Linked DNA regions of Arabidopsis thaliana. The protein of the gene in region 2 interacts with the protein of the main gene of each other region in a pairwise test. Each region holds a gene or a part of one and is shown on either strand. Other genes may lie near its edges.

Evidence for each region.
Region 1: the proteins of PP2CG1 (region 2) and GOS12 interact in a protein complementation assay, tested with the Arabidopsis thaliana proteins (one large-scale study listed by BioGRID).

What each region holds. Positions count from the first base shown.
Region 1 is NC_003071.7:18,636,393-18,642,976, forward strand, and holds GOS12 (golgi snare 12), read right to left. Parts: upstream 3,648-6,584; 5' UTR 3,249-3,647; coding exon 3,116-3,248; intron 2,726-3,115; coding exon 2,475-2,725; intron 2,007-2,474; coding exon 1,917-2,006; intron 1,803-1,916; coding exon 1,731-1,802; intron 1,616-1,730; coding exon 1,486-1,615; intron 1,395-1,485; coding exon 1,297-1,394; 3' UTR 1,125-1,296; downstream 1-1,124. Other genes in the region: SAUR36 (SAUR-like auxin-responsive protein family), read left to right, coding at 5,492-5,980. UniProt on the Arabidopsis thaliana protein: Involved in transport from the ER to the Golgi apparatus as well as in intra-Golgi transport. It belongs to a super-family of proteins called t-SNAREs or soluble NSF (N-ethylmaleimide-sensitive factor) attachment protein receptor.
Region 2 is NC_003071.7:14,250,462-14,257,065, forward strand, and holds PP2CG1 (Protein phosphatase 2C family protein), read left to right. Parts: upstream 1-2,750; 5' UTR 2,751-3,738; coding exon 3,739-3,921; intron 3,922-4,008; coding exon 4,009-4,200; intron 4,201-4,350; coding exon 4,351-4,556; intron 4,557-4,761; coding exon 4,762-5,323; 3' UTR 5,324-5,542; downstream 5,543-6,604. Other genes in the region: AT2G33680 (Tetratricopeptide repeat (TPR)-like superfamily protein), read left to right, coding at 1-1,330; AT2G33690 (Late embryogenesis abundant protein, group 6), read left to right, coding at 1,726-1,953; AT2G33705 (F-box family protein), read left to right, coding at 5,690-5,899. UniProt on the Arabidopsis thaliana protein: Confers salt tolerance by triggering the expression of stress-responsive genes.

The DNA.
Region 1 (6,584 bases), 4.4 Mb from region 2:
TCCAACTCAATATTAACCATTACAAATCTCAGATAAAAATCTCGGTAAATTATATACGGAAAAATTATGAGTCTTAAACCAACGTAGACGAAGAATAATTCCATGAGTTTCATAAGTCCGATTGTTCCTAAGGGTTTGTATACCCCGATCCGTGAGTAATCGAATATCGGTGATGGTTCAATGGTTGATTAGTGTACTATACTATAGTCTATAGACATCACATATCAACTGTCTTTACAAAAATTATAATGATTATTTTTTTCACTTTTAACCAAAAAGAGAAACTGAACCTCTTCTGATTCTCTCGAGTGTTTTATTGTCTGAAAATTCGTAAGAAACGGTCTCCCATTGGGAAGCGCAGAATCTAAACAAGCTTTTATTTAAAAAAGAGCCTCTGATTCCTAGTCCTATGTCCAGCCAATGTAAAGCAAAAAGCCAAAAGCTAAAATATATTACAATCTCCTCCCTCCAAAAGCAATATTCAAACTATAATTAGTATTAGATAACGAATCATACGTTGGAGTAACTCTTTGTTACTTTCCTCGTTTAGCCTATATCTTTTACGAGACTATATCCATCTATATTTTTCTAACCCAAATTGTTTTTGATAGGTCCACAATAATTTGACCATATAGTTATTACTTATTAGGAACGAAAACTTAGAAAAGTCAATCAGGCCTGGCTATTATGTGGGCTTTGGCCCACCACAATATCTCTAAACCGGTACGAACCACATTGATTAGCACTTCTTGAAACTATATGTAGGGCACATAAGAGTATAGACAGGAAAATAAATACAAGGGACTGGATCATCATTAGTGAAGTGTGTACCCACTCAAAATAAAGAGAGTGAGGCCTTTAGATATTATGACCTGAGTGGATGTAAATGTAAGCTGAAAGATGAATTTATGAGTTGGATTACTTTTTCGTACAAAGTATTGTGGTCGAGAGGACCAAACTAAGGGAAAGAGAGAGTAATAAAAATCTAACATAATAAAACAGAGCATAATGTGTTGTATTGGACCACATTGTATGTTGGACCAATGTTGAAGAATTTAAGCGTGTGGTAATAAAAAGTAAGTACCTGAATGAAGTCACATGGGTGGATCTTTGATGTTGTGAAATATATGTTTCGAATTTTACTTTTACGATATGATTCAGGGTGTAATATTGTCCTACAAACATATAACCCAACATAATGGCAAAAACACAAAAGCAAGAAAAAACTTGTAAAAAAATCGATCTAGGGATGTCAAGGCAAACTCGTTTTATAGCTTAGGTGTATGAACATTCTGTTTATTTTGAGAGCCAGTAGATGATTAGAAACAACGTACAAGCAGCGATGACAGCGGAGAGGATAAGTGTGTCCCGAGAACGTTTCCTTTTAATTGAGCCTATTAATTGAAAAAACCAAAAGTTGCTTAAGGATAATAGAAGGCTAATGAGATTAGTTGAGAATATCATATAGAGGTTGAATAGAGATACCAAGTAAGCCACGAATCACTGGGAATTTGTCTCCGAGATTTTTTACTTTCCCTTGAACATCTGAAAACAGAGATCGTTGAGAGCCAAGAACTGCTCTTGTCGCTTGAGCTTGACCAATCACATCATCAATCTGCAGCCAAATTCTCCATAACATCCTCATTAGAAAATTACCTTACAAAGTGGGCTATTATTAACAGAATATAACACTCAGATTACAAATGCCATGATTACAGAAAGTATCTTACATGGGATATACTTCCATGGATTGAAGCTCTCTCCCTTAACACTTGCACACCTGGTGACATACTACCAGAAGCCTGCAGAAGCAAAAACAGAACCCAACTTCCAATCAAAATGTGAGCATAGAAGAATGTGTATCTCCAATAATAAGAATATTCATTTTCTAAACTAAGAGGCTATAGGATCTTTACCTTATATTCACTTATGTCATCCCTGACAGAACTCAGAAGCTCAGCGTGTTCTCTCAACGAGTTTATATTTCCTTTTATTCTTCGAAACTCCTACAAGTTCACATTAAAATATCATTATAATGAAAAAATAGGCCCTATAATACGTATGATTTCATATTACTACAGAACACACATAAGTATCACTAAACAAATCTACACTAGTGCAAAGGGGTTTTCCTTTTCAAAATGGGACTGCAATTACTCAGCTAGTATCACTGATCACTGATGCATGATACGCAAACAGTGGATAGGAGTACCAAAACTTTGTTCTATGCAAAGGCATCTATCAACTTATCTACCTTATGCATAATGCACCAAAATTATTTAGCTGAAGATTGTTGCATCAATAGCATGATCAGAATTTTCAAGTTTGAGATCCCCGATATATTACTAAGTTATAATTCTCCAAAATGTCATTCAAACTTCGAAAAATAACAAATAAACTTACGTGATGGGGATAGCTATTGAATACAACAAAGAGCTTAGAAAGGAAAGAAGTCAAATATGGTGCAAGAAAACCTGGGTATATTCATGAAGTATATCCCTGTGCCTTGCTAGTTTTTGAGTAACCGATGTTGTGGGTGCAGCAGATGCAGCACATCTACTCATGGAATCATTAATATCCAACAACTTCTCAAGCAACGATTGAATTTCCATCTCCATAGACTTCCATGATCTCCCCGATCCAACGGTTGGAGACCCAGTGTCAACATACCCTGAAACCAAAACACATTTCAATACTTTCTCATAATTCATAACAAGATCAGTATCTGATACATACAACAATGCAATTCTTAAAAACTGAAAGCTAATGCAAAACAGTAAGCTTAACACACAAAAATTCTTCTTACCTTAGTCATTCACAGAAAAATAATTTTGACAGGAATCTGAGAGAAACATTACCAATTTTAACTTTACTCTACCAAACACCACACATGAATTAAGCATTGGGGAAGCATAACATAGACTGAGCAAACAATGGCGATCAAATTCAATTCGGTGAAGAGATCATATCCAACATTGATTCCTAGATCTATATCACATTACAGACTACTAACCCCCACATTCAGATAGTAGACATAACAGCAACATTCAAAGCAATGGAAATAACAAAGAAAGACACAGATAGCATGATCAAGCGGAAAGGAAGAAGAACGAACCGCCTTGAGTAAACCTGGCGCCTAGCTTAGCGTAAGAAGAGAGCTTAACGTCTAGATCTCCTTCAATTTTACGAGCTTCCCGCCTAAGTTCTTCCCAACCAGATTCCTGCAGATCCAGACTCGATTCTGTCATTTTCCGATCTTCAACAATTCAGATCAGTAACCTCTCCGTTCTTAGATAACTCTCCAGCTCCGCCGTGAACCAATGCCGGAGCTCTCAGTACAACGACGATCTGATTCTCACTGAAACTGATGGAACCAGCGATGACGAGAGGATCGCATCCCTCTTCCCTCCTCCGCTTCTTCGCTCCACTGGTGATGGGCCTTTTAATCAAGGACTTTTATTATTGGGCTCACCATAGTCATGGACTTTTATTATTGGGCTCACCATAGTCATGGACTTTTAATATTGGGCTCACAATAATCAGGGACTTTTAATATTGGGCTTATTAAGGCTTATAGTAAGCCTGAATTGGGCTCTCGATTAAGTTGACGTTAAAAGCCGAGTGACACGTTCGTATATGTACGCACTGTACGGAAACACGAAGCTGATGAGTTGGGATTTATATAAGAGAAGTGTTTGGAACAAACTTCTTTCTGATTCCTATTATCGAAAGGTCCAAATCAATTTGTTTTTTTTTTGTGATTCGGAAATTGTGCTTAACTTCAACTCATAGTTTTTGCTCATATATAGCTAATTTAACTTGGGTTAATAGAAACAGGGATGGGCAAAAAGAAACATATATATATGATCACGAAAAACGAATATCTTCACCAGCTGGGTGGGTCATATCCATTATGAACGTTTAAACGTCTTTTAGCTAGGATACGGACTACAACAAAATATGATTAACCATATATACAAAGAACTTGTCGGTTGGAAACACAAATTGATTTTAAGGAATATTGGTTTTTTGGTTTACGTATTATTGTCGGTTTAATATTTTTGTTTTGCTTTGATTAAGTGTGTAAGTACAATTTACACTGCATAAAACCTTTTTTATATATACATAATTTTGTTAGCTAATTTATCAGAGTATAATCACTCATCTCTCATGTGCTTTTTATTTTATTTTTTAGTGGTCATTTTGTTTAGTTATATTTCATTACTTTAAAATTCCAAGAATTTTTTGGATGCAGCACAAACACGATCTTAATTTACAAATGAACGTGTAATTGTGTAAAGTAACTCAAAATATAGAAAGCTTCTCTTCTCAGATTTGATTCGTGGGAAATTCACCATTTTAGCTCCAAAAAGCTTAGTGAATCCTCCAATTACTCAAAACTAGATCTATCTTTATTGGTCTTTTTAAAAGCTTTTTTGTCCTGATATGAATATGTATATATATCAACCATCATCAACGTACACAAGTAACGCAACTAGAGGACACACCGTACACATTTTGTTCTCGTAATATAATTTTAATTCTATATATATTTTTTACAAAATCACAGACAAGTAGATGATCACTAGGGCACTAACCTTATTAAAAAACAGTAGATGATCACTAACAAATAAATAAACGACATTATAAAATGAGATGGTGGGGATTTGATCTCGTGTGAGTGTTACCGAATAGGTTCAAAACTTTGTCCCACTTGGCCAGCACACGTGTGGTGGCATAGTTGTCTTCATCTTCGAAGTTCAAACATGCTAAGCATGTAAGCTCCGACAAAACATATTCAGATAATAAAATAATTTCAGGCCTTTCTTCGATAGATCATATTTTCAGATTCAAAATCAACCATAGATAATAATATCTGCGTAACGAATTACACGCTAAAATACCATAATAGTTTGACACTACTGTTTTTTTTCGTATTGTGAATTTGTGATTGATAACCCATCAAAACGTTTCAGTGATAATGATAAATGTAGGCTAAAGGTTAATGGGACGTGTCATATTTAATGTAGATTCTTCGGGTTTGGACTATCTGCCAAGCAAGAGAAATATGGCAGTTTTAATCTAATCCAACGGTCATAGACCTTAGTCTTCATCTAACCGTTCATTTATTTAGACTCCATATAAACTCCTTTAAAGACCTCTTGTCTTTCACTCATTCTTCTCTTGATCTCTTCTTCTTTAACGTTTATACTTTATATACATCGAAAGCATTTCTTCTTTGTCCGTTCACATCATTTTCGAATTTGTGTTTTCCCTAGAAATTGTCTTTTTTTTTTTCTTTCTTATAGAGAAAATCAAGAAAATGTAAAAAAGATTGATATATTTATTTATTCTCGTTCAAATGAATCACTCTTTATTTGACTCGTTAGTCCATGTCTCGTCTCACTCTCTTAATCTCTATTTCCTCTCAGATCTCTCAAAAAGTGTAGTTTTGTGACAAAAACTGTTTTTTAAAGTTAGCTATAAGAAGATGAGGAAGATCATAGGGTTTAGAATCGGGAGACGAGTCTCAAGATGGATCTTTCGCAAAACCCGGATCCAACGTTCAGGATACAACCGGATACACTCGACCCAGCAAGCTTGCATGCTGATGAGACCATTAGCCAAACTCAAAAGTTGGGGCCAACGTCTCAAGCAAAGTTTCAGACGCAGGTCTACGAGAAGATCCGCATACATACCCGTTGATCATAAGAAAGCCGACCCGGTTCCAAGGGGACACTTAGCTATCTACGTGGGTCAAAAAGACGGCGACTGTCATAGAGTTTTGGTACCCATCGTTTACTTTAACCATCCTTTGTTCGGTGAGCTGCTTCGAGAAGCCGAAAAAGAGTACGGATTTTGCCACGAAGGAGGTATCACTATTCCTTGTCTGTATTCAGATTTCGAACGGGTCAAGACCCGGATCGCATCGGGGTCAAGTTCTCGGGTATTTCCATGGGGCCGTCATTGCCGCAATTGAAGACAATTATGGAAATAGTTCTTAGGATTTTCAAGCTTTTATTTTCTTTGTAGATATTGTTCCCTTTCATTTACCATTTTCTAATCTTGTTACTTTTTGTCACTTTACACTTTTCTTGTGATAGTCTCAATTATACAGTAAGCTGATAACGTAAATAATTATTAAGAGTCTAATAGTGATTATCGATAATGATGTGATTAGCATGGGGACACTTAGTGGTATACTGTCTTTGGACATTGATATAAAGATGAAATGGAAATTGGTGATGAAACACCAAAGGAAAAGTGTAACACGATTCTATTCTCTATATGGGTCTACTCAAGATTTTTAGCTATCAATTGCAAGGATATGTTTGTTGCTTGCTTATTCCCACTAACTAATTATATATTTTGAATACTACTTATACCCAAATAAATATATTTCGAATACTATTTAAGTATGGCTAGGCCTAGCTAGGTTAGACGACAAAATATTTTGGCTTTTGTGGTTGCCTTGTCTGATTTGGATACGAAACACTTTGACGTGAAAGATGTTCAATTCTAAAATGAGCGTCGCGATGCGATTGATATCCGAAAGAACAACTAATTTATCTATATATTTTGAC
Region 2 (6,604 bases):
AAATTCGATTACATGGTCAGCAATGGTCACTGGTTATTCTCAGAATGGGGAATCACTTGAAGCAGTAAAGCTTTTCTCTAGAATGTTTTCTGCTGGAATCAAGCCCAGTGAATACACGATTGTTGGGGTTCTTAATGCATGCAGTGACATTTGCTATCTAGAAGAAGGGAAGCAACTTCATTCTTTCTTGTTAAAGTTGGGATTTGAAAGACATTTATTTGCAACTACTGCTTTGGTTGACATGTATGCAAAAGCCGGTTGTCTAGCAGATGCCAGAAAAGGTTTTGACTGCCTACAAGAACGTGATGTGGCGCTTTGGACATCGCTTATTAGCGGGTATGTTCAAAACTCAGATAACGAAGAGGCTTTGATTCTGTACCGCAGAATGAAAACAGCAGGTATTATCCCAAACGACCCAACCATGGCAAGTGTTCTAAAAGCTTGCTCTTCTCTAGCTACCTTGGAGCTCGGAAAGCAAGTACACGGCCACACAATCAAGCATGGGTTTGGGCTTGAAGTTCCAATAGGAAGCGCACTTTCTACAATGTACTCAAAGTGTGGGAGTTTAGAAGATGGGAACCTCGTCTTTAGAAGAACTCCCAATAAAGATGTTGTGTCTTGGAACGCTATGATCTCAGGCTTGTCCCATAATGGACAAGGAGATGAGGCTTTGGAACTGTTTGAGGAGATGTTAGCAGAAGGAATGGAACCAGATGATGTCACTTTCGTGAACATTATATCAGCGTGTAGCCACAAAGGTTTTGTAGAGAGAGGCTGGTTTTATTTCAATATGATGTCAGATCAGATCGGGCTTGATCCAAAAGTTGACCACTATGCTTGTATGGTTGATCTGCTGAGCCGTGCAGGACAGCTCAAAGAGGCAAAAGAGTTCATCGAATCAGCTAATATTGATCACGGTTTATGCCTTTGGCGGATACTATTAAGCGCATGTAAGAACCATGGGAAATGTGAGCTAGGAGTTTACGCAGGAGAGAAGCTCATGGCCCTTGGATCGAGAGAATCATCAACTTATGTGCAATTGTCAGGCATTTACACGGCTTTAGGGCGGATGAGAGATGTGGAACGGGTTTGGAAACACATGAGAGCAAACGGGGTGAGCAAAGAAGTGGGTTGCAGTTGGATCGAGCTGAAGAATCAGTACCATGTTTTTGTTGTGGGAGATACAATGCATCCGATGATTGAAGAGACGAAGGATTTGGTTTGTTTGGTTAGTAGACAGATGATAGAAGAAGGATTCGTAACTGTGTTGGATTCGTCTTTTGTCGAAGAAGAAGAAGGAACACAATTATCTACTTCTTTCATAATATAAATTTTTTGTTGAAATTTTTTATATTGTAGGTTTTAATTTTAGGTGTGTGAGTGTAACTTTAGGTGTGAAAATGTATCACAAATAGTAATTCTTTTGTTAACCAAATGATTATTCACTTTTTATAACCATATGCCATATAGTGTTAAATTACTGAATGTTTTGTTTCCATTCATTGCAAATTAGACAATGCATGCATGCTTTAGATTTTAGAACTTTGAAATAAAGAGAAATTGAGATTTAGCTAAATGTGGAAATAACCTAGTCAAATACACTCCCTAGTTCGATGGCCAATTTTGTGCAATTTCTTTGGACAATAATTATTTACGTCTCCAAATATATTGTCTTCACACACAAGGAAGAAAAAAAAAAAGAAGCTAAACTTAAATTCAAGAAATATGTCAGGAAATATGTCGAAGAGTGAAGAGAAACAAGAGTTGCCACTAGAAACAAGTCCGTATACAAAGTACGAGGATATAGAGGATTACAAGAAGAATGCTTATGGAACTTCCGGTCACCAGGACGTTAAGCCTGGCCACGGCGGCGGCACAACCGACGCACCGACCCCCTCCGGTGATGCTGCTCCCTCCGCCATAGATTCCGCTAACCAAAAAGCTAAGAAGTGAACCACTCACAAAATGTTTCTCTTGATTCTGTTTTAGTTACTCTCCAATGTGATTCATTTGACGCATTGTGATAATTGACATGTTTTTGTTTTTTCTCCTTTTCTCCATTGATATGATCCAATCTAAGATCAATAAATAGATGTCAAGTCGAAGGGATTTTGGCCATCTTGCAACATTAACAACCCACGTTATGTATATTCTCACCTTGAAAAACAGAATTTTGCGAAGAATTATACGCCAAATTTGTAAAAATATTTGGTCAAGAAAACTCTCGTACGTGTCATTTCATGACATATATTGTAGCACAAGTTGTGGTGACCTACTGATTGTCTGATCGATAGCATATTAGAAAAGAAATAAAATGAACCTTAAAAGTCAAATCCTTAACAACTACTAGCAATTAACAAACATGTTTGAATAGAAGTTTCAAGAATTCACATTGAAAACTTTACTCTCTCTTTTCAAACATGTTTCATCAAACGGAAATGTAATATTTAGTCCACTAAATCTCTAATTAAAGTCAGTAATTGATAGTTACAAAATTAATATGCTTCTTCCATCGGTATGAATTAATTATGATGCCCAACAGGCAACAACTAGCTACCAATTTGATTTCTACCGGCTTTGATCAACCTAAACCGGAAATAAATTTCTCGGTAATGTGAACACAGCCGCAACATTAGCTGAAACCAATATAATTACGACACGTGTATGGCGGGAATCAGACGCCGCAACTTTAATTTTTTAATCGGAGGTAACCCCTCGCCATTGGGAAAGACAAAAGGAGATTTGCATGGTAGCGATCTTGACCGTCGATGTTCTATCTTAGAGATCTAATGGTTAGGAATTTATGGCGGTACCACCCGGTCAAAGTAATGCGTACCGTCGATATTTGACACGTGTCGGTAATTTAGCTCCGGTTTGACAGATAGACGATACGAGAGATTACCTGGAAACGCCGGTGGCCAACCAAATACCGAACGAGACAAGCTTCTCTCTCTCTTTCTCTATCTATCTTTCTCTCTCAAAGAAAGCTTTTGGAAATTGTCTTTCGTCAAATTCTGTTCTTCTTCTTCATTAAACTCATAACTTTTTCTGGGTTTTTCGAGAATTTCTTCGAAAGGATCTTACGGTAAGAGAAAAGGAAAATTAAGAGGGAATAAGAAGATTCATCATCATTGTCATCTGTGGGGAATCTCAGAGCTTTTTTTTCTGTAGTTTTGTTATCTTTCTGAATTCTCTACCTGCTTCAAGATTTCATTTTTATTCATCGATCTTTGGGGTTTAGTTTCAAAGCTGAATTCTTTGAGGTTTCTGAAATTTGCGAGCTGGGTTTTTGTTGAAATAGGCTTCTGAGTTTTGGTTATATTTGTGGATAATCGATTACTTGATCTGACCTGAGAAAAAGTAGAAACCTTTGAGTAGAGCTGGTTCTATTACAAAGTTGTGTTTGGGAGCTTGCTACAAGACCATTGGATTTCTTCACTTTCTTCATTTGTTGAGTCTGCTACAAGATCAAGGATCTGTTGATTTTGGGTATTTGATCAAAATCTGAAATTGATCTTGTGGAAGTAAGGTTGCTGTAGTTGTCAAGGTCTTTGGTGAAGTTTGTTTCTCACAAAGTTTGATCCTTGAAGTTGGTCTCTATTGATCTTAGATCTAGTGTGAATAAAGGAAGTCCTTGGAAAGCAGCAGACTTGAAAACGCTATCACAAGAGGAATTGCTTCCTGAAGAGACTGTCTGGATTGCTGATAGATTTATATGATTCAGAGAAGAACTCACCGATGAGTATGGATTTTTCACCTTTGTTAACGGTTCTTGAGGGAGATTTCAACAAGGATAATACTTCTTCTGCAACAGAAATTGATACTTTAGAGAACTTAGATGACACTAGGCAGATAAGTAAAGGAAAACCTCCGAGGCACCTCACAAGCAGTGCTACTAGGCTGCAGCTTGCAGCCAATGCGGTAATATACTTGACCCTGCTTTTTCTTTTTCCTTTTCTTTGTTACAATGGGATTCGAATGATGTAACTGGTTTCTGTTTGTGCGCAGGATGTGGATGTTTGTAACTTGGTTATGAAGTCACTTGATGACAAATCAGAGTTTCTACCTGTATACCGATCAGGAAGTTGTGCTGAGCAAGGGGCAAAACAGTTCATGGAAGATGAACACATTTGCATCGATGATCTTGTTAATCATCTTGGTGCAGCTATTCAATGCTCTTCTCTTGGAGCCTTCTATGGGGTGAGTTTATCTTCCAATCTTACCCAAAGAAGCATAAAAGCAATTCACTAGCCTGATTCTTCTTTCTTCTCCTCTTTTGTACTAGTACGATATAAGAGGTATTACTTCAAAAACTCTTCTAACATTTGTTGATTGTGTGTCCTTTGGCAGGTATTTGATGGCCACGGTGGCACAGATGCAGCACACTTTGTTAGAAAGAACATTCTGAGATTCATTGTAGAGGACTCCTCCTTCCCACTATGCGTAAAGAAAGCAATTAAGAGTGCTTTCTTAAAAGCTGATTATGAATTTGCAGATGATTCTTCTCTTGACATCTCTTCTGGGACCACTGCGCTTACAGCTTTTATTTTTGGACGGTAAGAGCATTTAAATTCGTATTTATGAACTTGGGAAGCTATATATGTTATCACCTGTATAATCATCAATACTTATCAGGTTGCCTGTGTGTATAAGATAGAGAATAAGGCTTAGTGTAAAGACTTATGTAACGGGCTGTTTTACCATGTTTCTTTGTAGTTTTGATGTGATTTTGAATAGAATTGCTACTTTCTTTCTTTACAGGAGGTTGATAATTGCAAATGCTGGTGATTGCCGAGCAGTACTGGGGAGAAGAGGTAGGGCAATTGAGTTGTCCAAAGATCACAAACCAAACTGCACAGCCGAGAAAGTAAGAATAGAAAAGTTAGGTGGAGTTGTGTATGACGGTTACCTCAACGGGCAACTATCAGTTGCACGTGCCATTGGAGACTGGCACATGAAAGGTCCCAAAGGCTCTGCTTGTCCGCTAAGCCCAGAGCCAGAGTTGCAAGAGACAGACCTGAGTGAAGACGACGAGTTCTTGATAATGGGATGTGATGGTCTGTGGGATGTGATGAGCAGCCAGTGCGCTGTGACAATAGCTAGGAAGGAACTGATGATTCATAATGATCCAGAGAGATGCTCTAGAGAGCTTGTGAGGGAGGCCCTTAAACGGAATACATGTGACAATTTGACAGTGATTGTTGTGTGCTTCTCTCCGGATCCTCCACAGAGGATAGAGATCCGAATGCAGTCACGGGTGAGGCGGAGCATATCTGCGGAAGGGTTAAACCTACTCAAAGGCGTGCTCGATGGCTATCCGTGAGCATGTTATGTTGTACGTTACTTTGTGAGACTATTGCCAAGTTAGAGAGAGTGTTTACAGGTTTATTGACATGTTGTGTTCTGAGTATGTTGTTGTTACCAATATTAGTAGTATTCAACATCCATTGAGATTTTAGATGGATGCATATTATCCCATTGTAAATAATTTTTAACTTGTTCCACCAAATTCCTTTCATTAAAAAATTTATCAGAATTTTATTATTTGCATTTAGGCCCTCATACTATTAGGACAGTTCACATTAACCCCTATATATTCATTATATTTAAAGAAACACTTAGATCTCTGTTTCAATTTAGCAAATGGAAAACAAAAGAGACTTTAGTGTTTAAGAGAAGCGTCTCTACCATGATGAAGACACGAGCTTGTTCGAATCCGATGAATGAAGGAGTAAACTTGGAACAGATCCCATACGATCTCGTATTGGAGATACTCTTGAAATTGTCGGCAAAGTCTATAGCGAGATTTCGTTGCGTATCAAAGCTATGGGATTCCACATTCCGCAGTCGATATTTCACTGAACTGCTCTTTATCATATCGTCTTCCATGCAAATTTAGACGTCCAAGGATCTGAAGCTTATGGCAAGTATTTAGGATTAGCACAGTCGTTATCTTATTTGATTACTATATTTTTTTTTCTTGGTACGTATGGTATTCATCTTTTCTTATTGGTTCATGCAATATCTTGTGAACCATGGTGTTATAAGTTTTAAGGTTACTCTTCTTTTCATCATGAGCGATAAGCGACTTTGGAAATTGTGTCTTTGGTGAGCTCTATGTTATTCATTTATCCATTGGTGAAAACCACATTACAATTGGGCTAAAGAATGTAGTTTTCGAGATTGTAGATGAACTAAATAGACCATTGCCAACACGGTATAACTTATTTAAAGCAAAAATCTGCATGTATACAAAAGGAAGATATACAGTACAAACATAAAGATACAGATATATAAAGTTTCCATAGCAACCTTAATTAGATTGTTACTATACAATACAATGTTCATCTTTTCTTGGGTAGTAAACAATACTACTTATTTTCATCCTCTAGTGTAAAGACTTTTGTAATGCGCTGCTTTACAATTATTCTTTGTAGCTTTTGTTTGATTCTGAATAGAAAGAATTGTTATTATAAAAGAAAAGTAAACAAATTTAAATTATACTTTTTATTCAAGTTTTGCAAATTCTCTTGTTATATTACAACATGTTTGTTTTCTTACTTAACGCCGCAAACACAATGATCAGAATCAAAACGGTTTATAG